Linked DNA regions of Anolis sagrei. The protein of the gene in region 1 purifies or fractionates together with the protein of each later gene. This does not show direct contact. Links are inferred from orthologs where the notes say so. Each region holds a gene or a part of one and is shown on either strand. Other genes may lie near its edges. The genes, in order: RCCD1, SPAG9 and KDM8.

Region 1 (10,117 bases):
AGTGCCACGTCAGACTGTTCTGCACCACGGGTTTTAGTTGATCAGAGTAGAGTAAACATGCACACAAACAAACCAAACTTTTCTCTCTTTCCTTCACTTTTCCCTTCCAGCTCTGTCCTTTAAGTTGATGCCGCTCTGTTCCAAAACAATTCTGTTTTCCAAAACAATTGTCCTTGGCTTCACTTTCCCATCTCTTCTAGGTTATTCTTCGCCTTTTCCATACACTTCTCTTACCGCCCTGCAATGCTGTCTTTCTCCAGTTCCTTTGCTCCTTTCACTCCTCCCCTCTCTTTAACTCATTCTCAAAACCTTATAAAATTCACACTTGTAAAATCTCAATCTCTTTACTACTGTTGCCACTCATAAGCCCCCACCCCCCTTTTCCTGGCTCCTTCCTGTGAAAAGAGGGCTTTGCTGGAGAAGCAGAAAGAGACCGACCTTGTGGAGACAAAATGTGGGGTATAAGTAAACATAATAATAATAATAATAATAATAATTATTATTATTATTATTATTATTATAATTGTTATTATAGGGAACTGTCCAACGTTTGATCAAATACAACAGCCAGCAGAGTGATCTTGTGTGTTGTGGACTCATCTTGTTGTATTTCAAATAGTAATAATAATAATAATAATAATAGCATATAGATTTCGTTTGCTGTGACATACTGTGCTTTTGTGTCAATAATAATGATAATGATAATAATATTAATAATAATAATCCTACCTCATCTCATTTCCTTCCTCACTCTCCCCCCCCCCCCCCCCCAAGACTGAGGCTTGGCTGGAGATCCTGCAGGCCCTCCTGCTCAGCCCCAACAGTGCCCTCCAGCACCGGGGTGCAGTGGTCGCCAGGAACATGGTGGCGGCAGACAAGGAGCTGGCAGCGAAGCTGATGGAGACGGAGACGATGGAGATCCTGTCGGCCCTCTGCGGCCTGAAGGACCAGCCCCGGGTGGCCCAAGTGGCCCAGGACTGCATGGCGCAGGCCGTGAGCCTTGGGTTGATCAAGCCGGGTGCCAATGCCGGGGAGTGAGAGAGGGCATCGCATTGGAGGGGTGGGGGCACAAACACTGTGGGGAAGGGGCTTTTTGCATGCCCGGCAGTGGGAAACAGGGGGCCCACACTTCCTGGTCAGGCACTGGCCATGCCTTTTGCTTCTTTACCTTCTTTGCTACCTCCTCACCTGCACTTTGGGGCCATTGTGTTGGGGCTCAGTGAGTCCCTAGTACCTATTTGTTCCAATTATAGGGGATCCAAAATACAGCTTTATTTCTGATCAGAGCAAAACTTGAGGGTGACCAGCAAATGAAAGAAATTGCGCCACCCAATCTGAGATGCAGCTCAGTCCTTTGTATAGTCAGAAGCAAAAACCTGCGCATGAAGCTTTGTTTTTCTTATTTAAAATCTGTTCCATGTATCCTTCTCTCTCTGGTGCCTTTTATCTAACCTTTTACAGCCATTCCTCGCAACGATCCCCCTCCTTTCTTCTTTCCTTCTTGCGCTTCCTCTCTCTGGGCCATAAAAGTCCTTTGAAACCCTTTTACCTACTCTCACCTCTTCTCAATTCCATATCTGAGGCCCTTTCTACACTGCCATATATATTTATATTTATTTAGTATATTTCCATCCCGCTCTCTCTCACCCCGCAGGGGACTCTGAGCGGCTTACAATATGGCAATATTCAGTTCCGCACATTCAACAACCGACAGTACAATACATCATATAGCAATAAAAACATATAAACACCATAAAGTTGTTAAAATATGTCCTAAAGTTGCCATTTGTGTGCTACATTGTGCTGATTCCGTATTGCACACCCCAAACGCCTGATTCCAAAGCCAGGTCTTCACTCGTTTCCTGAAAATCAGGAGGGAGGGGGCCAGTCTGATATCACTGGCGAGGTAGTCCCATAGCTGAGAAGCCACCACTGAGAAAGCCCTGTCTCTCATCCCCACCAGCTGTGCTTGTGATGGGTGTGGGACCAAGAGCAGGGCTTCTCTTGCAGATCTTAACTCTCTAACCCAATGGCTCTCAACCTGTGGGTCCCCAGATGTTTTGACCTTCAACTACCATATATCCTAATAGCTGGTAAGCTGGCTGGGATTTCTGGGAGTTGTAGGCCAAAATACCTGAGGACCCACAGGTTGAGAACTACTGCTCTAAATGGTTCATAGGGAGGGATATGTTTGGACAGGTAAGTTGACTGGAGCTGTTTAGGGCTTTATAGGCCAAAGCCAGCACTTTGAATTATGCTTGGTAGCAGACTGGCATCCAGTGGAGCAGACGTAGCAAGGGGGTTGTATGCTCCCTGTATGTTGCTCCAATGAGCAGCCTGGTTGCTGCCCGTTGGACTACTTGGAGCTTCCGAATAGTCTTCAAAGGCAGCCCCATGTAGAATGCATTGCAGTAGTCTATTTGAGATGTAACAAGAATGTGGACCACCAATAGCCAAATTATCTGCTTTGAACTGGATTATATGGCAGTGTAGAAGGGGCCTAAGACTCCTGCTGTGCTCTGTTTTATTTAGTGAAGAGTTTCAGCTTTCTTTTCAACTTGTCCAGTTCCCTCTTTCCTGTCTCAGTCTTCCATTTCGAAACTTTCTTATAACATCTTTTAAAAATCCATATTTATTAAATTTCATTCTCCCCAGTTGCATGGAGGGGTTCCCCCCTCATTGCTGCACTGGCCCCCCATTTCCTCCCAGTTTTGGCTTCTTGCATTCCTTGGCTACTAAGCATTCCTTGTGGCTAGCCCTGGTTTATTTATTGCATATTGCTGATGGGGGCAAAGGGAGCAGGGCTGGCCTCTTTTCCTGTAATGTGGATTTTGCTCATTTCTCCAAAGACTGATATGAAATGTATATGAATATGCAATGGGGGTGGCAGTGTGAGACGGGACCCAAGTGCCTGCTTCTTTTGGTGCCCAATGGCCTCGAATAGGGAGGAACACAAGAGCTTCACAAACAAAGCACAAAATATGCTACAGGCAAATGCACTGTGACAAAGTTGGTTGGTCGGGAACAGTTTACAGGCCGTCGAGGTGCAAGATTCCTTGTGAAATATGTATAACTATCTCTTTGTTTACAGAGGCCTTCAGTCTGTCTTGGAAACACAAATAAAGGGGCACTTTTTTGCACAATCGCGGGGCTTTGTCTCTTTGGGTCTGAAAGGGTTACGTTGCAACTTAACAAAATTTGAAAAAATATTCTGTGCCTGGTTTGAAAGTGTTATTTCCTATTTAAATGTGCGGTCCTTACTTTGAAAGAGTTGCTCAACTCGCAGAAACATTGTTTTTGTGTAATCAATTAGAAAGGATCCCGAAAGGTCATCTAGTCCAAGCCCTTTCTGCCAAGTAGGAGGACACAATCCAATCCCTCCCAATATATGGCCCTCCAGCCCCATAATAGCAGTTTTATGGAAGCCATAGCCACAGAATCCTCAAATTGGGACCCCCAAAGGTCATTCAGCCTGACCCCCTGCTTTCTGCCACGCAGAGGCACCAGCAAAGCCCTCCCAGCAGATGGCCAACTCAGGCCTGTGATAGAACCAATTATAATATAATATATTGTATATACATATAACATTGAAAATATTATAATGTAATACAATATAATACTAAAATATGATATCATAATTATATATGTTATGTTACATCACGGGCGGCTCAACCCATTACGCAAAGTAAGCATTTGCAGTATAGTTGATTTTGCCCAGGGGCGCTCTTGAGGCGCTCTTGGGGGGAAATAGACCTTGACATATGCATGTATAGTTCACCTACAATCAATGAGGATTCTGAACTCCACCAATGATGGAATTGAACCAAATATGGCACACAGAATTCCCACGACGAACAGAAAATATATATCAGTAATTGGTTTGGGGGGGGGGGGCAAAATACTGTCTGCTTACCATTGAAAATTACCTAGGGTAATTACATGTAATATTACATGTATTACATGTAATATTACTAATATTACAGTATAATGGTTTAGTGCAATATAGTAATATATAACATTAATGTGCTATGGTAATAATATAATATATTGTATATACATATTATATTGATAATATAATGTAATACAATATACTTATAATATAATTATATATGTTATATTACATGTAATATTACATTATAATGGTATAGTGCAATATAGTAATATATAATACTAATATTGTGCTATGGTAATAATATAATATACTAGTTGTCCCCTGTCACACGTTGCTGTGGTTCAGTCTGTTGGTCTAGAAAATAAAGTAATTAGAAAGTGTTGATTTCTAATATATGTAATTTCTTTATGCTTGTGGGTAAATGGTATTTCTTGCTATTTCTTTGTCAATGTTGATGTGGAGAGTGTCTGGTTTGCCCACCCTGGAACATGGAACATATCATTCTCCTTCTTTAAGGGTCCCTTTCAAATCTATGATACTATATATGTGTGTGAATATCTATCTATCTATGGCTGGATGGCTCTTTATCAGGAGGACTTTGATTATGTTTTCTTGCCCTGATGAAGGGAGTTGGACTGGATGGCCTTAAGTATTTTCTGTTGGTCATGGGGGTTCTGTGTGGGAAGTTTGCCCCAATTCTGTTGTTTGCGGTGTTCAGAATGCTCTTTGATTGTAGGTGAACTGTGAATCCCCAGTGACTACAACTCCCAAATGTCAAGGTCTATTTCCCCCAAACTCCATCTGTGTTCACATTTGGGCGTATTGAGTGCTTGTGCCAAGTTTGGTCCAGATCCATCATTGTTTGAGTCCACAGTGCTCTCTGGATGTAGATGAACTACAACTCCCAAACTCAAGGTCAATGCCCACCAAACCCTTCCAGTCTTTTCTGTTGGTCATGGGAGTTCTGCGTGCCAAGTTTGGTTCAATTCCATCGTTGGTGGGGTTCAGAATGCTCTTTGATTGTAGGTGAACTATAAATCCCAGCAACTACAACTCCCAAATGACAAAATCATAATTTTTTGAGTGATGGCCACTCCTTGTGTTGTGAGACGTTTTGTTGCCAAATTTGGTGTGATTTCGTTCATTGGTTCTTTTTGTTTTTAAGGTACTCATTATGCACAGAGCATTTATATATAGATACTAGCTTTACCTGCCACGCATTGCTGTGGCCAACCTTCTCTCCCTCTTTCTCTCCTTCTTTCAGTCCTTCCTTAATTTCCTTTTCTTCTTTCCTTTCTTCCTTCTCTACCTGTTTACTTCCTTCCTTAGCTTTTTGCTCCCATCCTTCCTTCTCTTTATTTCTTTCCTTCCCTCTCTCTTTCTCTCCTTCTTTCTCTTCTTCCTTTGCTCCGTCTTTCCTCCCTTCCCTTTTTCTTTCCTTCTCTCCTCCTTCCTTCTCTTCCCCTTTCCTTCCTCCTCCCTTTTTATTTTCCTTCCTCTTTCTCTCCTTTTTCCCCTCTCTATCTCTTTCCTTCCTTCCTTCGCTCTTGACTTCCAGTCTTCCTTTCCTTTCTTTCTTTTCTTCCCTCCCTTTCTCTTCTTCCTTCGCTTTTTTCCCTCTCTTCCCCTTTCTTTTCCTCCGTCCTTCCTTTCTCCCTTCTTTCCCATCCTACTTCTCTGTATTCTTTCTTTCCTACCTTTCTTCTTTCATATACCTTCTCAGCTTCCCTCGTTCCTTCCTTTCTTTCCTTGCTTCCTTTCTCCGTTCGCGCAGCATCCTGGCCCCCAGCAAGCAGGCCGCGTTCTAGAACTACAGTTCCCAGAGTGCATTGCGTGTGTACTTCCTCCCCTGGGCACTGCGCATACTCAGTTGGTTTTTGTAATTGTGAGCTTGTTGAAATGTTGTTTGGAATTTTGATGAGTGTTGTGCATACCTTGTGGGTTGAGGTATGTGCACGGCAAATTTGGTGAGTTTTCGTTGCGGAGTTTTCGCGTTTTGGTGTCCCATTGAACACCCTTTCCATTTTTATATAGATAGATAGATAATGTTTACATATTACTTGTAAGCTGCTCTGAGTCCCCTTCAGGGTGAGAAGGGCGGCATATAGATAATAAATAACTAAATTAGGAAATAATAACATTTATCACCCAGGTACAACAATCCTAGTCTTCCATACTGTCATTATTATGGATTTGTGGGCAAGGTTTCCTCCTCTGAAGTCATTTAGGGACCGCCCCCTTTGGGTGAGCGAAGCCCCGCCCAGGGGGCGTGCCACATAGTAGGCCACGCCCCCATCCCAATCTTCAAGTGCGGCTCACTTCCGCCTTTGAGGAAGCCCCGCCCAGAAAGAATACGTCATGCAGTAGGCTCCGCCCAGAGAGAGTGCGTCACGCAGTGGCCCCGCCCCCACTTCCGGCAAGATGGCGGCCCCCTGGAAGGGTGCGTGGTTCCGCTTTGGGTTCGGCTGGGAAGCGTGGCAAGGCCCGGAGGCGACGCTGGAACCGCAGCCGCTGCGGGAGGAGGAAGAAGGGGCCGTGCTTCGCGTGAGGCCCGGGTGGAGCCTGGTGGCCCTTACCGCCGCGGAGGGTTCGGTGGAGCTGCGCGGATTCGGCGGCGGCGCCTCACTCCAGCTCCCGGGCGACTGCGTGGCGGCACTTCCGGGAGAGGGCCACGTGGTGTTGGCGCGCAAGGCGGCCCTGGAGGCGTGGGCCGTGAGGGGAGCCGGGAAGGGGCGCCGCCTGGAGCTGGACCCGCAATGGAGGAGGCCCCTCGCGCCCACAGAAGCCCTAGGCCTTGCCCGCCAGGAACGCCAAGGCGGTGAGGAGGGAGGGGAAGGGGAACCCCGAGGGCATCCAGCCCGGCCCCATCACAGAATCAAAGAGTTGGAAGAGACCTCATGGGCCATCCAGTCCAACCCCATTCTGCCAAGAAGCAGGAACATTGCATTCAAATCACCCCTGACAGATGGCCATCCAGCCTCTGTTTAAAAGCTTCCAAAGAAGGAGCCTCCACCACACTCCGGGGCAGAGAGTTCCACTGCTGAACGGCTCTCACAGTCAGGAAGTTCTTCCTCGAGTTCAGATGTAATCTCCTTTCTTGTAGTTTGAAGCCATTGTTCCGCGTCCTAGTCTCCAAGGAAGCAGAAAACAAGCTTGCTCCCTCCTCCCTGTGGCTTCCTCTCACATATGTATACATGGCTATCATATCTCCTCTCAGCCTTCTCTTCTTCAGGCTGAACATGCCCAGCTCCTTAAGCCGCTCTTCATAGGGCTTGTTCTCCAGACCTTTTATCATTTTAGTCGCCCTCCTCTGGACACATTCCAGCCTGTCAATATCTCTCTTGAATTGTGGTGCCCAGAATTGGACACAATATTCCAGGTGTGGTCTAACCAAAGCAGAATAGAGCATGGGTAGCATTACTTCCTTAGATCTAGACACTATACTCCTATTGATGCAGGTCAAAATCCCATTGACTTTTTTTGTCGCCACATCACATTGTTGGCTCATGTTTAACTTGTCCACGAGGACTCCAAGATCTTTTTCACACGTACTGCTCTCGAGCCAGGCATTGTCACCCATTCTGTATCTTTGCATTTCGTTTTTCCTGCCAAAGTGGAGTATCTTGCATTTGTCACTGTTGAATTCAGAGCCCTCCCTCTCGCCAGCCCCTGCTTTATTTGTCGTGTCAGGACAACCAGTCAAATTATATTACATTTCTAACAAAACAAAGCAAACAAACAGACAAAATACAAAATTTGTGAGTTTGGTAATTGATTAGATGTCCTTTGACCAGTATCTGGCCACTTGGAGTACTTCTGGTGTTGCTGCAAGAAGGTCCTCCATGGTGCATGTGGCTGGGCTCAGGTTGCATTGCAGCAGGTGGTCAGTGGTTTGCTCTTCTCCGCACTCGCATGTCGTGGATTCCACTTTGTAGCCCCATTGCTGAAGGTTGGCTCTGCATCTCGTGGTGCCAGAGCGCAGTCTGTTCAGCACCTTCCAAGTCGCCCAGTCCTTTGTGTGCCCAGGGGGGAGTCTCTCATTTGGTATCAGCCATTGGTTGAGGTGCTGGGTTTGAGCCTGCCACTTTTGGACTCTCGCTTGCTGAGGTGTTCCAGCGAGTGTCTCTGTAGATCTTAGAAAACTATGTCTAGATTTAAGTCATTGGCGTGCTGGCTGATACCCAAACGGGATGAGCTGGAGACGTCACTGCCTTGGTCCTTTCACTATTGACTGCTACTTCCTGGTGGATTTCAGGTGGTGCAATAATGGCTAGACAGTGTAATTTCTCCAGTGGTGTAGGGCGCAGACACCCTGTGATAATGTGGCATGTCTCATTAAGAGCCACATCCACTGTTTTAGTGTGGTGAGATGTGTTCCACACTGGGCATGCATACTCAGCAGCAGAATAGCTCAGTGCAAGGGCAGATGTCTTCACTGTATCTGGTTGTGATCCCCAGGTTGTGCCAGTCAGCTTTCGTATGATATTGTTTCTAGCACCCACTTTTTGCTTGATGTTCAGGCAGTGCTTCTTGTAGGTAAGAGCACGGTCCAGAGTGACTCCCAGGTATTTGGGTGCGCTGCAATGCTCCAGTGGGATTCCTTCCCAGGTGATCTTCAAAGCTCGGGATGTTTCTCTGTTCTTGAGATGAAAGGCACAGAAGCGAAGAAGAAGCCCCTGCTGAAGAATAATAATAATAATACAATCCTACAGTGGGAAGGGATCCCCAAAGGTCATCCAGTCCAACCTCCTGCCTTCATGCAGGAAGAGCACCATTAAAGCCCTCCCAACAGATGGCCCTCCAGTCTAGCTCCCTCCTGGCAGGAAAGAAGGCACAATCAAAGCCCTCCCGACAAATCGCCGTCCAGCTTTTTTTTTTTTTTTGGTCGTGTCAGGAGCGACTTGAGAAACTGCAAGTCGCTTCTGGTGTGAGAGAATTGGCTGTCTGCAAGGACGTTGCCCAGGGGACATTGCCCGGATGATTTGATGCCCAGCTGCTGAAGCATCATGATAATAATAGGATCCCAGAGTTGGAAAGGGCCCCCAAAGGCCATCGAGTCTAGCTCCATTCTGCTGGGGAGGAAGGCACCATCAAAGCACTCCCTGCAGGTGGCCGTCCAGCCCCTGAATAATAATAATAATAATAATAATAATGATGATGATGATGATGATGATGATGGGATCTTCATGCATTATTCGCCAATACATCACCCAGTCCTAGACACTTGGGAAGTGTCCGATGTGTGATCTAATTCAACAGCCAGCAGAGTGTCTGCTGTGGACACATCTTGTTGTGTTTCAAGTAATAATAAAAGTTGGAAGGGTCCCCCAAAGGCCATCCAGTCTAGCCTCCTGCCAGAAAGTAAGGCACCATCAAAGCCTTCCCAACATGCCTATGCCTGCCTCCTGCTTAATAATAATAATAATAATAGGATCCTCAGAGTTGGAAGGTATCCCCAAAGGCCATCCAGTCCAACCTCCTTCCGCCAGGAAGGTAGGCACCATCAAAGCCCTCCCTGTAGATGGCAGTCCAGCCCCTGAATAATAATAATAATAGAAGTTGGAAGGGCTCCCCAAAGGCCATGCAGTCCAGCCCCTTTCTGCCAGAAAGGAAGACACCATCAAAGCCCTCCCAGCAGTTCTATGCCTGCCTCCTGCTTAATAATAATAATAGGATCCTCAGAGTTGGAAGGAATCCCCAGAGGCCATCCAGTGCAGCCTCCTCCTGCCTTCATGCAGGCAAAACACAGTCAAATCCCTCCCTGCAGATGGCCATCCAGCCCCTGAATACTACTACTACTACTACTACTACTAATAATAATAATAATAATAGAAACCTCAGAGTTGGAAGGGATCCCCAGAGGCCATGCAGTCCAGCCTCCTGCCTTCATGCAGGAAAAGCACCATCAAAGCTCTCACTTCAAATGGCTGTCCAGCCCCTGCTTAATAATAATAATCCTAGAGTTGAAGGGACCCTTCCGCCAGAAAGGAAGGTACTACCAAAGTCCTCCCGACAGATGGACATCCAATCCCTGCTTCAAGGCCTCCAGAGACTCCACTGGACCCATATTCTGGGGCTGAGCAGACCATAAGGATGCTTCCTGATCTTTAGACAGAATGTTTTTTCTCCCATTTAGACCCATGGCTCCATTGGGTCCCAGTCTCTGGAGCAGCAGAAATCAACCCTTGCCCCTTTCTCTTCAATATGAAAACCTTTTGAATATTC
Region 2 (9,927 bases), on another chromosome or scaffold:
ACAAAACACCATCTTTCCTTCTTTTCATGCTTTAAGGACTAACATGGCTAATTATTTGAAAATTCCAACCATGAACATACTCCCGGGAGTTGTCTGGTTTTACAAGGAAAGCATTTGATGGCTGGATTATATGTTGTTGGACTGCAACTCTCATCAGCCTTAACCAGCGTAGTTTATTTATTTATTTCCTATATTTATACCCCACCCTTCTCCCCCCAAAGGGGGACTCAGGGCGGCCTAACAAAAGCATCATACAATGCTAGCATCATAAAAACAACCACAGTACAATCAAAATATTCGAAATATTGAAAGAACAATTAAAACAATTAATTAAGACACATCCATCAAATTCGAAATCCAAAAAAACAGTCTGGGTCAATTCATTGTCATAAGTTGTGTGATCTTCTTCCACTTGCTGCTCACTGATCAAATGCTTGGTCCCATAACCAGGTCTTGATTTTCCTATCTATGGTGAAGATGGTGGGAATTGTATTTCAGCAACATCTGCAGTGACATAAGTTGCTCACCTAGGCTATCACCGTAAGAGGAAGTACTATTCCCTACATTTTTTGGGATGCTTCTATATTACATGGAGGAAGGGAGACCATGTATTATGTTCTACATCAGACCTGCACAACCTGTGGCCTGCCAGAAGCCCTAGTCAGCTTCTCCGAGGACTGTGCCAGTTAGACCCGGGAGGAGAAAGGCTTTTTCAGTTATTAAATCTTACTGTCTTAGTGTCCTCCATCTATTCCCTGCACAACCAGTTCACTGTCCAAGGAGTTAGGATGATAGTATGACAGCTGGGACCCAGAGCTGCTATTGTTTTGCTGTTTCCGGAACGGTGCTTCGGGAATGCTGATTGCGGAACGCAGGCGCGGGAGGATACCACTGAAGTAATTCAACGCAGGGGGACACACAGATAAACACTGAAGGAATGTAACAGTTCTTTCATGACAAATGATAAACAGCAGTTTGGGAAACGGTTCGGGAAGATTTTCAACGGGATAGAAATCAGCAATCTGACCCAAAAGATTATTAATCCCTTCCATGTTCTTCTCAGCCCACATCCAGGCTGTCCACAAACTGGAGGGCGTTGCGCAATAATTCTACATCCCTGCAAAAAACTCACGGCCAGCTCTATTGTCCAAAACTCCTCAATAAAGTGGATTAGATTGATTTTACACCACTCCTCGTATTTCTCCCCTCCTTTCTATCCTTCCTTCTATTGCAACTACGAACTATCTTCCCGACTTTGTCCCCTCTGTGTTTCTCAGTCTGCCCCCTCTCACAACCACGTGGTCGGACATGTGTTTCCTTCCCTCATTCACAACCGCTGTTGCGCTATCAGCGTAACACTAGCAGCACTGGGTCCCAGCTATCATACTATCACTGCAGTTACATTGTGTGGGGGCAGAACAGCCATAGATTGTGCAAGCCTATTCTACATTGCCGACATAGCATTCATATTGTCACTATGCAATAACTAGGGGTGTTGCTGCATGGATTTAGGGGGTGGGGATAGTGTTTAGCAAATGACAACGTAACTGGCATTTGATAATGGAGTTGTCTTAGAGTTGTGGGTTCAAAGTATTGCTGTACTTGCTTTCCAAACAGCACAGTCTTTATTTCTTGGTCGCTGCTGGGAGTGCACTGAAATACATCTTCCTTAAGCTGGTCCAGAGGCTGTCTGGCACACAGAGATCATAGGATCAACCTCTCCAAGGCAAATGCCCTTAAATAGCCCTAGTGAATGACTGCTTGTAAGGCACCTTGACCCATGATTATGTTCTTACTCAATGATTAAATTTTACTCTGAATCATGAAAGGAAACATTTCCAGGAATTTATATCTCATGTTATCCTTACATGATTTCTTACTACAGAACAAATCTCGTACAATGTTGCACTTTGGGCATGGTCGAAGGAAACATGATCCTTTCCTTCAGCTATCACCAACATACGTATATTTTGCCCAAAAGCATGTGACAGTAAATATTCATGTTTCCTGCTTACCAGCTTGGAAATTTTAGAATAGAGGTCTATAGTTTATTAGGAAGGTATCAATTTATTTAAGCCACACAATTAATCCAAGTGGTTTCTAAATCTGGGTAAAATGATAAACTCCCAACAATAGGACTCAAGTTCTAAGGTGGACAGTAACATCTGGAAGGCTGCGGTTTGTTCTGTTTAGCTAGGATAGTGAGGTTTGTGGATATGATGTCTGACTGTAAAATGTTCTTTAACCTTTCCACAACCTCAGAGCCACAAGTGCTGTTGGGATACAACTCCCATTATCCCCAATCTGCATGGGGGAATCACAAAAGTGATGGGAGCTGTAGTTCAATAACATCTGGACACACAAAATGAGTAAAAACCGAAGAGCGCCTAAGTAAAGGTAAAGGTTTCCACTGACATTGAGTCTAGGCATGTCTGACTCTGGGGTGCTGCTCATCTTCATTTCTAAGCCAAAGAACCGTCGTTGTCCATAGATGCCTCCAAGGTCATGTGGCTGGCATGACTGCACAGAGAGCCATTACCTTCCCACAGAAGCGGTACCTATTGATCTCACATTTACATGTTTTTGAACTGCTAGGTTGGCAGAAGCTGGGGCAAACAGCGTGAACTCACCTGACTCCCTGGATTCGAACTGTTGACCTTTCAGTCAGCAAGTTCAGCAGCTCAGCGGTTTAACCCACTGCACCACCAAGAGGCTCGAAGAGCACCTACCACTATAATATATATATATATATAGTTGACCCTCTATATCCATGGATTCTCAAACTAACAGCAATTTGAAGGCAACCATAAGGCTGAAGTGGCCCTCAGTGAAAATATGTTTGATAGCCCTTGTCATGCTCTAGGACTTGGTATATTCACTGACATGCATTTGTGATACTGTGTCTGCCTTTGTAGTTTGACCCTCTTGGCTTTCTATACCTCTAGATGTGGTGTAATAGCTCCTCCTTTCTCTATCAGTGCTATACTTGTTCTGAAGAGAAAACATGCCTGCTAAGCTCCTGGGAATTTCTAATTTTTCACTTACTGTTGTATTATTTTTGACAAGGTTTACCTGGATTAAAGCATCTGGAACCTTAGCTTCGTCTCTTCATTTGAGTTGAACACTGTCTGACAACATATATCTGGTGTAAGTACTGGTTAAATAGAGATAGCTACAGGACACTCCCACAACCTTACACTCACAGCCAAGCTATTGAGTCAGAATAGCCCTGCTCTAAAGGCGTCAACTCCCACCTGAAACTAAACAGAGTCATGTCAAGTGATTACTTGGACGGGTGGCTACTCACAAACCCATCCAATTTTGCTTTGATTGAGGAAACTGAAATGAATGAGATTGCCAGAAGTTGAGAGGTGACTTGAAGGCATAGAGCAGTGTTTCTCAACCTGGGGGTTGGACCCCTGGGGGGGGGGGAGGGGTCACGAAGGTGGTTACAGAGAGGTCACCAAAGACCATCAGAAAGCACAGTATTTTCTGTTGGCCATGGGAGTTCTGTGTGGAAAGTTTGGCCCAATTCTATTGTTGGTGGGGTTCAGAATGCTCTTTGATTGTAGGTGAACTATAAATCTCAGCAACTACAACACCCAAATGTCAAGGTCTAATTTCCCCAAACTCCACCAGTGTTCACAATTAGGCTTATTGGGTATCTATGCCAAGTTTGGTCCAGATCCATCATGGTTTGAGTCTGCAGTGCTCCCTGGATGTAGGTGAACTACAACTCTAAGACTTAAGGTCAATGCCCACCAAACCCTTCCAGTATTTTCTTTTGGTCATGGGAGTCCTGTGTGCCAAGTTTGGTTCAATTCCATTGTTGGTGGAGTTCTGAATGTTCTTTGATTGTAGGTGAACTGTAAATCCCAGCAACTACGACTCCCAAATGACAAAATCAATCCCCCCCAACCTAACCTGTATTCAAATTTGGGCATATCAGGTTATCAGGTATTTGTGTAAAATTTGGTGTAGTGAATAAAAATACATCCTGCATATCAGATATTTACATTATGATTCATAACAGTAGCAAAATTGCAATTATGAAGTAGCAACAAAAATAATTTCATGGTTGGGAGTCCCCACAACATGCTGAACTGTATTAAGAGGTTGTGGTTTTAGGAAGGTTGAAAATCACTGCTCTAACAATTGGACTCAAGTTCTAAGGTGGACAGGAACATCAGGAAGGCTGTAGTTTCCCCCCCGTTTAGCCAGGATAGTAGGGCTTGTGGATATAGTGCCTGACTATAAAATGTCCTTTAACCTTTCCACAACCTCAGAGGCGCAAGTGCTGTTGGGATGCAATTCCCATTATCCTTAGTCTAAATGGGGGTGGGGGAGGGTAATCTAAAGTGATGAGGGCTGTAGTTCAATGATATAATAATATAATATAATGTAATACAATATAATAATATGATATTATAATTATATATTTTATATTACGTGTAATATTACTAATAATAGTACTGGGACTGTGGTGCAGCTGGCTGGGAGTTAGCTACATTAAAGATCACTACTGACTGAAAGGTCATGAGTTTGAAGCCAGCCTGGGTCAGAGTCAGCTTCCGACCAATTTGTGTAGCTTGCTGTCGACCTTTGCAGCCTGAAAGACAGTTGCATCTGTCAAGTAGGAAATTTAGGTATCGTGTATGCGGGGAGGCTAATTTAACTAATTTATGATGCCATAAAAATCTCCAGCAAGCATGCACAGAATGAGGAAGTACTTCATCAGTGTCACAAATGGACAGTGAAGTGACAGCTCCCCTGGTGGCCAGAATACCCTCATCAAAAGCTGGAATGTTAAATAGCCTCTGTGTGTCTGTCTATATATGTTGTGTGTCTATGGCATTTAATGTTTGCCATGTATATATATATTGTAATCCGCCCTAAGTCCCCTGCGGGGTGAGAAGGGCAGAATATAAATAGTGTAAATAAATAAATAATATAATGGTATAGTACAATATTGTAATATATAATACGGACATTGTACTTGCTAATAATATAATATATTGTATGTATATGTATCTTGTAAGCTGCTTTGAGTCCCCTTCGGGGTGAGAAAGGCGGCATATAAATGTTGCAAATAAATAAATAAATGAAATTTGCACACCCAAAATGAGAAAAAAACCTGAAGAAATGCCTAACATCATGTGTGTGTGTGTGTGTGTGTGTGTGTGTGTGATATATATATATATATATATATATATATAGGCCCCCTGTACCTATGTACGTCCAACAGACTTTTAAAGGCAACCATAAGATCGATTTTTTTTCCACAGTGAAAATGTGTTTGATAGCCCTAAAGGCTTCAACTCCCACCTGAAACCAAACAGAGTCATGTCTGGTGATTACCTGGATGGGCGGCCACTCACAAAACCACCCAATGTTGCTTTGTCCGAGAAAACTGAATTGAACGGGGTTGCCATTCTCTGACAGGTGCCTTGAAGGCATACAGAGTATAAACAGGTCGAGTCTTTGCTTGTGGAGACTGGGATGCAGCAGCCTTTCTGATGGGTCTCCGAGGGCTCCCCTGCCCTTCTCCCTCTCTGACAAGACTTGGCCCTCTTTGACACTGGCAGCTATGTCAGAAACACAGGAAGGACGGGGAAGACCCTCACAGGCCTCCGTCCAAAGGGCCTCACGTCTCCCAAACACACTTTTTGTGGGGAACCTGAGACAGGTTGGAGGGGGAGAGTGCTGCTCAGGAAGCACAGAGGTATAAACCAGCAGATACTCCAATTTGGGAGCATTCCGGCTCTCCTGAAAAGCGGGACGACGTCGACGCCTCCCTGTCCTAGTTCTCTCCTCGGCCCCGCCCTTCGCGGCGTGACGTCAGGCAGCGTCGACGCTCCGCCCCCGCTTGGCGCCCCACTAGGAGCGCGAGCTGGCGCGTCGGCCCCGCCCACTGCAACGTCACTGCCCCGCGCCCCCACCCTCCCTCCGCCCCGGCGCCGTGGGTGAGGTCAGTGCTGCGCGCCTGTCAGCCAGGCTTCCTTCCTTCCTTCCTGTTTGCGCGGAGGGGGAGCCGAGGCCCCGCCGCAGAGGGAGAGGCGCTGCTGCTTGTTGCCACCGCCGGGCCCTCTCCCGCCTCCGAAGGCCGCCCTCCTCGCCTCCCGCCCCTGCGCTCGGCAGCCATGGAGCTGGCGGACGGCGTGGTCTACCAGGAGGACCCCGGCGGTCCCGGCCCGGCCATGATGTCGGAGCGGGTGTCCGGCCTGGCGGGCTCCATCTACCGCGAGTTCGAGCGGCTCATCGGGCGCTACGACGAGGAGGTGGTGGCCGAGCTGATGCCGCTGGTGGTGGCCGTGCTGGAGAACCTGGACTCGGTCTGCGCCCACAGCCAGGAGACCAGCGTGGAGCTGGAGCTGCTGCGCGACGACAACGAGCAGCTCCTCACCCAGTACGAGCGCGAGAAGGCCCTGCGGAAACAGGCCGAGGAGGTGAGCCCGGGGCCGAGGGGGGGGGGGGGAGAAAGGGGGGCCTTCGGGGTGCCGGTCTGGGCGGAAGGGCCCCTCCTTCAAGGTGGGAGAAGGGCAAGAAGGGAGCCTTGGTGGAAACGAAGCCCAACGGGTTCACCGTCCCGGCCTTGACTGTGGCGAAGGTAGACCTGATGCTGCCCTGGGAAGCTCTGCAACTTCGTATTGTCGAAAGATTTCATGGCCGGAATCATTGGGTTGCTGTGAGTTTTCCGGGCTGTACGGCTATGTTCCAGAAGCATTCTCTCCTGACGTTTCTCCCACATCCATGGCAGGCATCCACAGAAGTTGTGAGGTTTGTTGGAAACTAGGAAAGTGGGGTTTATATATCTGTAAAATGTCCAGGGTGGGAGAAAGAACTCTTGTCTGCTTGAGGCAAGTGTGAATGTTGCAATTGGCCGCCTTGATTAGCATGTAATGGCCTTGCAGCTTTGTTCTGTTAGAAATGTAATATAATTTGACTGGTTGTCCTGACACGACAAATAAATAGGTTCAAAGCCTGGCCCTATTTGATTCTTGTCAGGAATTCCCCTGCTTTTCCCCCACTGTGGACATTCCACAGATATATAAACCTCACATGCATAGTTCCAACAGGCCCTCTCAATCTCTGAGGAGGCCTGTCATAGATGTGGGCGAAACCTCAGGACAGAATGCTTCTGGAACATTGCCATACAGCCTAGTAAATTCACAGCAACCCTCTGCAACTTTGTTTGCAACAGATTTTGGCCTCATAAGATCGAGAGAGACCTGGCCCTGCTTTTAAGAGAAGCCACGTCACAGAGCCGAGAGAAGCCTCCTTGCTCCTCGGACCCAGCCTAAGAGTTCGCACTGCCCCACCTTGGCCTGAGGGCATCATGTCTTGTGGGCCTGTCAGAGAGTTGGTAGGCTGCTAGGTTCAGATTTCTGGAGGAACACCTGGCTAAGAGGGGTCTGCTGGAAAAGTTCTGTTGATCTCTTTCAGGGCTTCTTTTCAGGAGCACCTGACGGGCTTTAGTGATTCGTAACTGTTACATGCAAACCATGCAGCATTAAGAAAAATAGAAAGGGATGCTTTGGTAGGGGTTGGTAATGTCTGGAATCAGGCAGCCTTCAGGGCTGACAACTTTTAACAAATCTGTCAAAGCAACAGGTAGTGTAAGAAGCATTCTTCATTGAAGTTCCAAAGTATTAAATACCAGTAGTAAGTGCCACATCATTAATTCAGTTTTTAATGTAACATTTGAGAACTATATCATGTACATTGAAAAATAAAATTATTACTGTCTGCATTGTCTATGTGTTGGGTCACAGCATTTTTAGAAATTGAGTAGATGTACCTTTTTTATAATATAGCTAATTTGAAGCAAATATGCAACACTTTAAGCCTGCTATTTTTCTCCTGCAGGACAAAAACCAGCTTGGCTGGTGGGAAGGTTTTGAATAAATAAATGGCAAGTGGAGAATGGATTAAGGAGTTTGTTACTCCCATAGCTCTTCAGGGCATCTTCTAGTTAAATAACACCCTATGCTGATGAAAAGAATCATACTATTTAGTGTTAGCCATAGCTTAGTCTTTGCCAGGGCACAAACTGGATGCATACAGTTCCAGTTTCAGTTGCTGCCACATCCAGTTTAATGTCCCTGGTGGTTGAATAAAAACCCTGACCAGCTGTTGAGCTCATATGCTTCTCACATGGTTTTTGTTTACTCTAAGTAATGCATTTTATAGGCCTGAAAGCAGAAGTAATATTTCCTTATTGTGGTGTAGTTAGTTTTGTTTTCAGTCTAGAAAAGAGAAGGAAATGTTCTGCATATGGTTCACACAAGGAAATTCCATAAATCTGGTTGTTCATTTAATGGTTCTGGTGTTTACAAATAGGAAATACTTTTCTAGATTTAGTGTGCCATATTGAAAATGAAAAAAAAAAATTGGCCTACATATCTCCTTTGACAGGTAGTAAAATGCCAAAACGTAACTAGATTAAAGTTCATAACTTAAGTAGCCTTCTCTATACTTTATTGATGAATTCACCAATGACTATGTTGTAGCTGCCTTTTTAGGTTCTATCTGCTCATTTGTAAACTTTTTTTTTCCGGTTGCAAGATGGCTTGTAAAATCTGTGACAGTTAAGGTTCATATATTTTAAAAACCATAAAGAAAAAAAGTGTTGCAATTAAACACATTAAACATAAAGCTGGTGATTATAATTACTGACTCTGCTTTCTTTGTTGTTCACCTTTGCCTATTTGCAAGCATTTCAAATTTATACTGGCAGTAAAATATGAATAATAATAATGATGATGATGATTTTATTTCTGTCCCATCTTTCTCCCTATAGGGACTCAAGGTGGCTAACAATACATGACACAACCCAATAAAATTTAAAACAAGGCAAATACATAAAAACAATTAAATATTTGTGTCATGGCTATAAGATTAAAATACAATAAAATATAATTAAAATTACATTTAAAGTTCAACATATCACCAAATCCCAAAAAGTCTCTAGGCCATGTCATTTTTTCCTGTTTTACTATTGTGTTATGTCATCATTATAGACGATTACTTGTGACAGAGTATGATTCGTCTTCCAAGAGTAAAGTCCGTAAGTGACTGTGAAAATTTAGTCTGAATCTGTATGGTCTTTTGCCTTGAGGACATCAATATCCAGATTTAAGGTTGTCACAACAAGTGTTTGCTTGACACTCCTTCCTCTTGGCACGTTTCTTCCTTTCATCCCCTATTTGTACCTCTTCAAAATCCATAGCATTATTGGTAACAGCTGGCCCCCAGTCAGAATTCTCTAGAGCAGTGGTTCTCAACCTGTGTCCCCAGGTGTTCTGGCCTTCAACTCCTAGAAATCCTAACAGCTGGTAAACTGGCTGGGATTTCTGGGAGTTGAAGGCCAAAAGACCTGGGGACACACGTTGAGAACCACGGCTCTAGAGCCAAGGCTTCCCAGTTCTCGTTGTTTATACCACATTTTTGTAAGTTAACTTTAAGCCCATGTTTAAATCTCTTTTGCTATCCACCAACATTCAGTTTTCCATTGTTGAGTTGAGAGTAAAGTAACTACTTTGGAAGACGTGATCGGGCATTCTGACAATTTGACAGTCCTGCAAAGTTGATGGCAGAGGATCATTGCTTCAGTGCTAGTGGTTTTTGCTTCTTCCAGAATGCTTATATGTGCAGGAGTTAGCATTGAGTGGACTTCTAGAAGGGAGAATAGTTGATAAACAGTAATGTTGGGTTTTGTCCTAAATGGAATTGCCCACTGTTGGGCTAATTTTTGCTTGCTTGTGCAGTCTTGATAGAAGCAAAAATCTATCCATTTTTGAGGTGTGCCTCTGCAACCTTTGGTACGAATGGAAAAACTATATCTGTATTGAGCAAAATTTGAAAATATGGTTGTGATATAGAGTATTAATATATTGTTATATGTCAGAAATAGCCATTGAAAACTTT
Region 3 (10,052 bases), on another chromosome or scaffold:
CATCCAGACCAGTCTCAGTCTCAGAGAGAAGGGACAAATGAGGCTTTACAGAGGGCAGTGGAGAGGACTGAAGCACCCCCATAGGCAGTGAAGTCTATCAATTGTTATGTCCATGTTACTGTCATTTCCCCTGTCTGCTGGGAACACCTCATTGGGAATTCAAACGGCATTACACTTTATGTCTCCAGTTTGTGTTGCCCAGAACAGACGCACTGGGCAGGGCCGAGGGTTGCCCAGCAATCCTGCCTTCCTACAGAACATGCTGGCTTCCACTCCAGAGGCATACATTTCTATGGGGTGAGATGCGGAAGAGCCCTCCCAAAAAAATCTCTCCTCTGCCCAGATTTAATTCCCATTTGTTTACTTCCAGCTGGTACATTTCCAATTCCAAGCACTGATTTGGAGCCTCTGTGCTTCAGATGGGAAGGAGGTAGAGAGGCAGGGAACATCCGCATTCAGATAAAGGCCCAATGGAGTGGTTTTGTGGGGACAGTGTCCAAATGTTAAGGAGAGACACATATCAGCACCGTCGGGGCCCTGGGGTCAAAGGCAGCACCTTCTCTGAAACCCAGAGAACTCTGTGGCTAGTAAGTGGCCACCTCTTGATGAGCCATTAGTCCAGCCTTGGTCCTGCCCAAACTATGGCCACAATTATTCAAGGGAAGAGGTCTGGCCATAGCTCCCCCCCCCCCTAAAAAAAAACAACTCCATGCTTGGCCATGGTGATTACTTACTTCATTTATAGGGACGCTTTAAAAGGCGCCTATCAAATTAAAATTCTTTTTTTCTACAGGCAACAGCTGGTTCACAGCTTGAAAGCAACAGTTAAGATAAATTAAATAAAAGGGATAATAAAATCCAAGCCTAATTTAATTTGTGGTACATGCAGATGCTGGCAGTGTTTTTAAAACACAGCAAAAGACGCCAAAGTCAAGGGACCCAGGAACTCTGTGCAAACATGGCTCTGGGTCTCAAAAGTAAGAGTAAAGAGACGCTGCAAGAGGTGGGGGGCTCATAGGGAGGGCCATACAGTGGCAGAAAAGACCAGAACGGCTCTCTGCAGCAAGAGTAGAGCACAGACTAAGGGAGGCCCAGCGCTGGTTCCTTGGGGGGCTTGGCCCCATCTAAAATGGCCATGAAAGTGTCAAAGGAGGCTGGATGGATCCATATAGGAGGCAATCAGTGGAAAGTAGCCAGGACAGCCCTGGACCTGGCAATGGATGGGAGGAAAGTGGGAAGAAATGTAGATCAGAGCGAGGCCATCCTGGCAGAGGAGGGAGCTGTGTAGGCAGATCCTCTCTCTGGAATAATAGAATAATAGAGTTGGGAGAGACCACCTAAGCCATCTAGACAAACCCCCTGCCATTCAGGAAGAGCACAATCAAAGGACCCCTGACAGATTGCCATACAGCCTCTGTTTAAAAGTTTCCAAGGTAGGAGCTTCCACCGGACTCTGGGGCAGAGCGTTTCACTGCTGAACAGTTCTTACAGTCAGGAAGTTCTTCCTAATGTTTTAGTGGAATCTCCTTTCTATAATTTGAACCCATTCTTCCGAGTCATGGTCTCCAAGGCAGCAGAAAACAAGACTCCTCCCTCTTCCTTATGGCATGCTTTCACATATTTATACATGGCTCTCATGTCTCCTCTCAACTTTCTCTTCTGCAGGCTAAAACATACCCAGCTCTTTCAGAAAACTTAACAAAGACAGGATGATGGTGATGATGATGACGACGATGATGACAATGATGATGATGATGGAGAAGGCTTCCCTTTTCTTTCCCCCGTCCCCAGAAAAACATTGGGACTGATGTCACCTTACCATGGGCCTCATTGTTCCACCCCATAATACCAGAGAAATTATGACAATATGTTGTTCGACATGAAAGTACACAACTGAGCCATTTGCACGACCCGACATCTGCCGTTCTCCTTGGAGCAGATGGCGGTGCAGATAAAAACACAAAATAAGAAGAGGGTGACAGGGACATCCTGGTCATTACAGACCCCTCTCCTGAATGCCCCCCCCCACTCCAAAATGCAAGGGGAGCAACTCAGATGCACACATCCCATCCACCCCTCCCCAGCCTAAAGGGGGGGTTGCTCATTGTGACCATTCTTTAACGTTTACTGTCTGTTCTTTGCCAGGGGTGAGTACCCCTTTGGCCCCATTGCCTTCCCTATGTGGCTGGATGTGTCCCCCCCCCCCCCCCCCGCTTCTTGGACCACAAGCCCATACGGCTGGCTATGAGTCACCCGGAAAGCCTTGCCAGGGGAAGAATGACACATAAATGGATACAAGCAAACAGATGCTGTCTTTTGAAAATATGCCCCAGGTTGGGCTGGAGAGAGAGAAAGTGACCAGGCTTCGATCTGGGTTTGTTGGCGTTTGTGAGAAGGTACTGAAAAAATGTACCTGTCCTGACTTACATACAAATTCAACTTAAGAACAAACCTATAGAACCTATCTTGGGTTGCTGTGAGTTTTTCTGGCAGAATGGCCATGTTCCAGTAGCATTCTCTCCTGATGTTTTGCCTGCATCTGTGGCTAATGGCATCTTCAGAGGTTCTGTTGGCAGTGAAGCAATTGGAGTATATATACTGTGGAAGGTCCAGGGTGAGAGAAAGAACCCTTGTCTGTTTAAAGCAAGTGTGAATGTTGCAATTAGCAAGCTTGATTAGCATTGAATTGCCTCGCAGCTGTAAAGTCAATCAGTGGGAGTATCTGCATAGAGGTAGCCAGGCCTCTGTTGCTTGGACGCATCCTATGTTTGGAAAGTGTTAACTGGCACTTGGTTGTTTGCTGTCCGGAATGCCTATTTCTGAGTGGTGTGCTTTATTACTGTCTTGATTCTGGTGTTTTTAATATTAGTAACCAGATATTGTTACAGTAAGTTGTAGCAGAACCAAGTGTGTGTGTGTGTGTTGAAGGAAAACTTTATGATGGTAATTATTATGTGCAGCTGGTAATGTAGGCCAACCAGCAAGCTTGGGCCACATCCGATAGGGTATAACTGTATGAGTTTTTACAATACAGTACTGGAGAGTTTTTTCTTTGAGGAACGCTGTTATGCTGCTCTAAAGGAGGCTATGGTGGAATAGCCGTTTACTCAAGATCTATGTTTTGCTCTCTCATTTGACTTAAGATGAAGATGCCTTATTTTGTGTTACTCACAGAGACTATGTAAGTTTCTTGCAGTTTGTTTTTGTATGCAACATTGCAAGTTTGTGTTTCATCTCTGCTATTAAGAGTAAAGATTTTTCTGTTCATTTTTCCTCTGGTCTGTGTGTCTTGTGCATGAGACGTGGCTAAGATCCGCTTGATGCGCAACAGATATTACTCAGTATCTGATACAAAGTGTCAGGCTTTGTATTTGTAGGTGTGAAGATTACTGCAGATGCAGACTGCAGCCAGGAAATCAGTAGATGTTTTCTTCTTGGGAGGAGAGCAACAACCAGACAATTGTATTACATTTTTAACAAATTTTTAACAAATAGACAAAACAGAGTTTGCAAGCTTGGTAGTTGATTAAATGTCCTTTGACCAGTGTCTGGCCACTTGGAGTGCCTCTGGTGTTGCTGCAAGGAGGTCCTCCATTGTGCATGTGGCGGGGCTCAGGTTGCATTGCAGCAGGTGGTCAGTGGTTTGCTCTTCTCCACACTCGCATGTCGTGGATTCCACTTTGTAGCCCCATTTCTTCAGGTTGGCTCTGCATCTCGTGGTGCCAGAACGCAGTCTGTTCAGCGCCTTCCAAGTCGCCCAGTTTTCTGTGTGCCCAGGGGGGAGTCTCTCATTTGGTATCAGCCATTGATTGAGGTTTTGGGTTTGAGCCTGCCTCTTTTGGACTCTCGCTTACTGAGGTGTTCCAGATAAAATAGTGAAGAGTAGAGACATCACACTGACAACGAAGATCCACATAGTTAAAGCAATGGTATTCGCCATAGTAACCTATGGATGCGAGAGCCGGACCATAAGGAAGGCTGAACAAAGGAAGATAGATGCTTTTGAACTGTGGTGTTGGAGGAAAATTCTGAGAGTGCCTTGGACCGTGACAAGATCCAATTATTTATTTAATTCATTTCTATCCTGCTCTTCTCACCCCTCGGGGGACTCAGAGCAGCATACAACATACATCTAGGCAAAAATTCAATGCCTTGGTACACAAACCATATAAAACATAACATAAAATCACTAGAAACAATAAGCATTTAATACCATTTAAACCATTAAACATATTAAACCATAATAACCCCATACACAGATAACACATTGTACCAATCCTTTAAGCACCCTACTAGGGCCTCCCCCTTCCCTTGTCATGATCCGAAGGCAGTGCCTCCCAACCCATGGGTCCCCAGATGCACCGGACCTCAATTCCCAAAATTCCTAATAGCTGATAACTTGGCTGGGATTTCTGGGAGCTGCAGGCCAAAACGCCTGGGGACCCATAGGCTGAGAACCACTATCCCAAGGTCTTCTTTGGCTGTCTTGAATGGTGCTGTATGACTGGTCCTCCGCTGGCATCCTCCTTTTATGCTAAGGGGCAAAGGGGCCTAAGGGGCAAAGATGAAGTACTTTGGCCACATCATGAGAAGACAGGAAAGCTTAGAGAAGACAATGATGCTGGGGGAAATGGAAGGCAAAAGGAAGAGGGGCCGAGGGCCGACCAAGGGCAAGATGGATGGATGGTATCCTTGAAGTGACTGTCTTGACTTTGAAGGAGCTGGGGGAGGCCAGGGTCGACAGGGAGCTCTGGCGTGGGCTGGTCCATGAGGTCACAAAGAGTTGGAAGCGACTGAACGAATAAACAACAAACAATAAACTTGTGCCTGCCTATGTGTGTGTGTTTGTCTATGTAATTTAGTAATTTATTGTATTTTTTATCTTCGTTTGTTTTCGAATTTCTTGTACTCTGCCTCCAGCCATCAGGAGAGGCGGGTAATAAAAAAAAATGTATTACTGTTTCCAGCGCTATCTCAAATATTCATCCCTTTCCTTTTCCAAACATCACTTTGATGGAGCTCAGCAGATCTTCATTCATAAATAAGAAAAAGGAATCCCTTTGCAGTTTGCTCCATGCAGTGCACCTTCTAACCCAGGCTTGGGCCAATTTGGGCCCTCCAGGTGTTTTGGACTACAACTCCCACAATTCCTAACAGCCGGTAGGCTGTTAGGAATTGTGGGAGTTGTAGTCCAAAACACCTGGAGGGCTGGGTGTTAACCCAGGCCTCGCGCATGCGCGCTGGGAGGGAAGGCCGGCCCAAACGACATCAGGTCTTTTTACTACTCGGGAACTGCGCATGCGCGAATGAGGAAGGACGCCCATAAACGTCAATAAAATGGAATGACTCTCATCTTAGGTCTTCGAGCGGGACACCATGGAGGAAACACCTCCTGTGTCGGAAGCCAGGGAGACCCCGACCACTCTCCGAAGAAGCCCGGAGAAAGAGGCATGAGCACACGAAGGCCGCTGGCAAGAGGGAGGGAAGAGGCTTGGTTTCGCCTTTGGCCCATTCTGACCCTTCTCTTTCCCCGTAGCTCTTTCCCCATCTCTCTCTCTTTCATTTTTGTTCCCTCTCTCCTTATATTAATTAATATCTAGTACAGTGTTTCTCAACCTGGGGGTCGCGAAGGGGCTTTCAGAGAGGTCGCCAAAGACCATCAGAAAGGGGCTCTTTGAGTGTAGGTGAACTATAAATCCCAGCAACCACAACTCCCAAATGTCAAGGTCTATTTTCCCTAAACTCCACCAGTGTACACATTTGGGCATATTGAATATTCGTGCCAAGTCTGGTCCAGGCCTATCATTGTTTGTGTCCACAGTGCTCTCTGAATGTAGGTGAACTACAACTCCAAAACTCAAGGTCAATGCCCACCAAACTCTTCCAGTATTTTCTGTTGGTCGTGGGAGTTCAGTGTGCCAAGTTGGTGAATTCAGAATGCTCTTTGATTGTAGGTGAACTATAAACCCCAGCAACCACAACTCCCAAATGTCAAGGTCTATTTCCCCCAAACTCCACCAGTGTTCTCATTTGGGCATTCTGAGTATTCGTGCCAAGTTTGGTCCAGATCCGTCATTGTTTGTGTCCACAGTGCTCTCTGGATGTAGGTGAACTACAACTCTCAAACTCAAGGTCAATGCCCACCAAACCCTTCCAGTATTTTCTGTTGGTCATGGGAGTTCTGTGTGCCAAGTTTGGTTCAATTCCATCATTGGTGGAGTTCAGAATGCTCTTTGATTTTAGGTGAACTATAACTCCCTGCAACTACAACTCCCAAATGACAAAATCAACACCGCCCCCAATTAAATTTAGGCATAACGGGTATTTGTGCCAAATTTGCAGTGGGTGCAAATACCTGCATATCAGGTATTTATATTACGATTCAGTAGCAAAATTAGTTATGAAGTAGCAACGAAAATAATTTTATGGTTAGGGGTTACCACAATATGAGGAACTGCATTAAGGGGTTGTGGCATTAGGAAGGGTGAGAAACACTGATCTAGTGAATCAATGAGTAGGAAAATCACATAGAAGACAACATATAACATTTGGCTGTGTTACATCTAGTTCTGAGTCTCTATTACCATAACACTCATTACTTGAGATGCTAAAGTTTTGCAAGTTTGATCTATCCTCCATAACAAATAGGGGAATATTACTTTCTATAGAACCAAATAGTCTTATCTTCCTGAATCACCTTCTTATGTTTTCTGTCTTGTTCCATATTTCTTCTCCTATTTTTCTTCTTAAACGTTCTTCTCGATTGTTCCTGTTAGATTATATTTGCTTAAAATATAGTAGTAAATGTTAATAAAGGATATATAAAATACAAAAGTACAAAATGTCCTAGATGTACTTTCATCAAACGAAAATCAGTGTAAATACTAATAATTGGAATCACAAATGTTTGCACAAAAGGTTTATGTATATCTGCACCTAACTGAAATAAGTGTAAATAATGTGATGAAAATGTATTAAGAATCCGTGATAATAAAATAATACACACACACAGTAGAGTCTGACTTAGTCAACATAAAGGGGCCGGCAGAACGCTGGATAAGCGAACATGTTGGATAATAAGGAGGGATTAAGGAAAAGCCTATTAAACATCAAATTACATTATGATTTTACAAATTATGCACCAAAACATCATGTTTTACAACACATTGACATAAAAAGCAGTTCGATACATGGTAACATTATGTAGTAATTACTGTATTTACTAATTTAGCCCCAAAACATCGCAATGTATTGAAACAGCCGTGGATCCAGCTGGGAGGCAAACTGTGTTGGATAATACAGAATGTTGGATGAGTGACAGTTGGATAAGTGAGACTCTACTGTATATATATTCATTCTATACAATAATTCAAATTTACTTAGCAGGTACTAGGGCTCTATTAACAAATTATCCTTCTATCTTCCTTCCCTGGCCCTTTTCTTTCTCTTTTCCAGGGAGAAGAAGGAGCCCCGTGTTCCCCGGAGAGGAGCGATGGTGGCTCCCCTGCACTTTGGCCCTCGCTGCTGGCACTACTTCCAAAGGAGGGCCTGACCCTTGACCTGGGCCCTTCAGAGGAGGTGGACCCTGCTGTAACCTGGCTACTGGAGGAAGGGGCTGGGTTGCTCCTGGGCCCGCTCCCACCTGGGGACCCCAGCCTTGGGCGCCTCTTGTTCCTGAGCAGCGCAGCCTGCGACTTTTGCTGGGAGCGGCTGAACATGGGGCCTTGGAGGGAGGTGCGGGGGACCTGGCGCAAGGCCTTTGCCTGGGGATGCCTCCTCCGTGCCCTGGGACTCTGCTGCCAAGACACCCAGGGCGGACCCCTCCAAGCCCTGCGCCAGTGCGACTTGGGCCTGCTCCTGGGAGCTCCACTCCCGGGAGACGCCTTGCAGAGGGTGGTTGGCCTCCTCCAGCGGCACCTGCATGGCCTTGAAGTGGACAAAGAGAAGGAGGAGGAAGGAGCCCCCCCTCCCAAGGTACAGCACTTACAGTTTGGCCAGCCTCAAGCTGGGAGCAGGGGCTCACCTTAGCACGGCTGAGATGCCTCCCTCCCTGTATTGCCGAAGGGTTTCACAGCCAAAATCACTAGGGTGTTGTGTGGCTCCTGGACAGTATGGCCGTGTTATGGCAGCATTCTCTCCTGATGTTTCACCTGCATCTGTGGCTAATGGCATCTTCAGAGGTTCTGTTTGCAGTGAAGCAAGTGGAGTGTATATTTAAGTGTGGAATAATGTCCAGGTGGGAGAAAGAACCCTTGTCTGTTTAAAGTAAGTGTGAATGTTGGAATTAGCAAGCTTGACTTGGCAGTTGAGTAACCATGAAGATTGCAAAGTCCATCAGTGAGGGTATATACAGAGGTAGCCTGGCCTCTGTTGCCTAGAGGCATCCTCTGTTTGGGAGGTGTTAACTGGACCTTGATTGCTTGCTGTCTGAAGTTGTTTCTGAGTGGTGGTCATTATTTACTGTCTTAATTCTGGTGTTTCTTTTAATACTGGTAACCGGATTTTGTTAATTTCCTTGTTTTTCTCCTTTTTGTTGGACTTGTCCACATACTTGTGGATTTCAATGGCTCATTGATTGACTTTGCAAACTTCATGGCTACTCAAATACTAATTAAAGCTTGTTAACTGCAACATTCACACTTACTTCAAACAAACAAGGGTTCTTTCTCCCACCCTGGACATTATTCTATCGGAATATATACACTGCACTTGTCTCATTGACAACAGAACCTCTGATGAGGCCAGCCAGATCCAGATAAAACATCAGGAGAAGATGCTGCTAGAATGTGGCCATCTAACCCAAAAACCACATCACAACACCCATATTTACTCAAGGTGAATGCATCATTAAATATAATGCACACCTCAAATTGCCAAAACCCTGAAACAAACCACAAAAAAAAAAACAAAAAAAAACATTTGTTGCTAAATGTAATGCACAGGTACAAAAATTAAACCCTTTATAATTTGGCCAAAAATTGTGTGCATTGCAGTTGCTGCCTGCTCAGAATTCCTTCTTTAAAAACAAAAAGTGTTAGAACACCAAAACTTCCAGCCATGTAGAATGAATCCACTTTAATTGCCTTAGTTCAATGCTATGGAATCCTGGGAGTTGTAGTTTGACAAGTTCTCGAGTCTGCTCTGCCAAATAATGTGGATGCCTCACCAAACTACAAATCCCAAGATCCCATAGAACCAGGACCATTAAATTGGAGATGAGGTCCCTCATATAGGAGCTGCAGTTGCTCCTGAAGCAGCTTCCACTTTGGCTTTGGCTCAGCACTAAGATGATTGTATGATGCGAATCTAATGTACATCCTCATTTTGGAGAGGTAATTTAGCTTAAAAAAAGGTGAGCATTAGATTCGAGTAAATAGAGTGATCATAATCAGAAATGTATTACTTGCCTCTCCCTGCAGCTTGAAACAGGGCAAAATATTGTGAAAGCAAGAAATAAGACACTTAAAGGACATACAAGAGATAAAATACAAGATAAAATCCACTGATGAAATGTGGATTTAAAATCCACCACTTAAAATTGTTCCCCTTCCCTTTCCAGGTCCTCTTTTTAGCTCTGTACCCCTTCAATGGGCAGTGGAAATGATCTCTGAGCAGAGCATTGCAAGCCTCAGAACCCCAGCTTAAATTACTCTTCTTGTTTTGGCTCCCTGCTGCAGAAGATCCAGAGGGAGTTTCCTGTGAGGCCCGCCATGAAGAGCGAGGCATCTATTCCATACCTTCTCTGCCCATCGCTGGAGCACTTCCGGGACCACTACCTGGTCCCCCAGAAGCCCCTGGTCCTGGAGGGGATTGTGAGCCACTGGCCCTGCATGAAGAAGTGGAGGTGAGCAACAGGTGGGGTGCCCTTTGATAAATTCCAGCTCAGGTAGCTTCAGCCCCGTTGCCTTACAAGTGTTTTGGGGGCTGGAGGAGATCCCCAGGTGACATTAATGGGGCTTCTCTCCGTTGCAGCGTAGCATACCTGCGGCAAGTGGCCGGCAGCCGGACTGTCCCGGTGGAGCTGGGCTCCCGCTACACAGACCAGGAGTGGT

What was found.
Region 2: the proteins of RCCD1 (region 1) and SPAG9 purify together in Homo sapiens (affinity purification with mass spectrometry; 3 studies listed by BioGRID and IntAct, counting the BioPlex papers as one, with this or other methods). This does not show direct contact. The link is inferred for Anolis sagrei from reciprocal best matches to the Homo sapiens genes RCCD1 and SPAG9.
Region 3: the proteins of RCCD1 (region 1) and KDM8 purify together in Homo sapiens (co-immunoprecipitation; 3 studies listed by BioGRID and IntAct, counting the BioPlex papers as one, with this or other methods). This does not show direct contact. The link is inferred for Anolis sagrei from reciprocal best matches to the Homo sapiens genes RCCD1 and KDM8.

What each region holds. Positions count from the first base shown.
Region 1 is NC_090029.1:22,676,874-22,686,990, forward strand, and holds the start of RCCD1 (RCC1 domain-containing protein 1), read left to right. Parts: upstream 1-6,277; 5' UTR 6,278-6,313; coding exon 6,314-6,710; intron 6,711-10,117. Other genes in the region: UNC45A (protein unc-45 homolog A), read left to right, coding at 775-1,038. UniProt on the Homo sapiens protein: Plays a role in transcriptional repression of satellite repeats, possibly by regulating H3K36 methylation levels in centromeric regions together with KDM8.
Region 2 is NC_090022.1:114,443,059-114,452,985, forward strand, and holds the start of SPAG9 (C-Jun-amino-terminal kinase-interacting protein 4), read left to right. Parts: upstream 1-5,961; 5' UTR 5,962-6,140; coding exon 6,141-6,446; intron 6,447-9,927. UniProt on the Homo sapiens protein: The JNK-interacting protein (JIP) group of scaffold proteins selectively mediates JNK signaling by aggregating specific components of the MAPK cascade to form a functional JNK signaling module.
Region 3 is NC_090034.1:22,510,254-22,520,305, forward strand, and holds the start of KDM8 (bifunctional peptidase and arginyl-hydroxylase JMJD5), read left to right. Parts: upstream 1-5,270; 5' UTR 5,271-5,376; coding exon 5,377-5,448; intron 5,449-7,455; coding exon 7,456-7,974; intron 7,975-9,677; coding exon 9,678-9,844; intron 9,845-9,972; coding exon 9,973-10,052. UniProt on the Homo sapiens protein: Bifunctional enzyme that acts both as an endopeptidase and 2-oxoglutarate-dependent monooxygenase.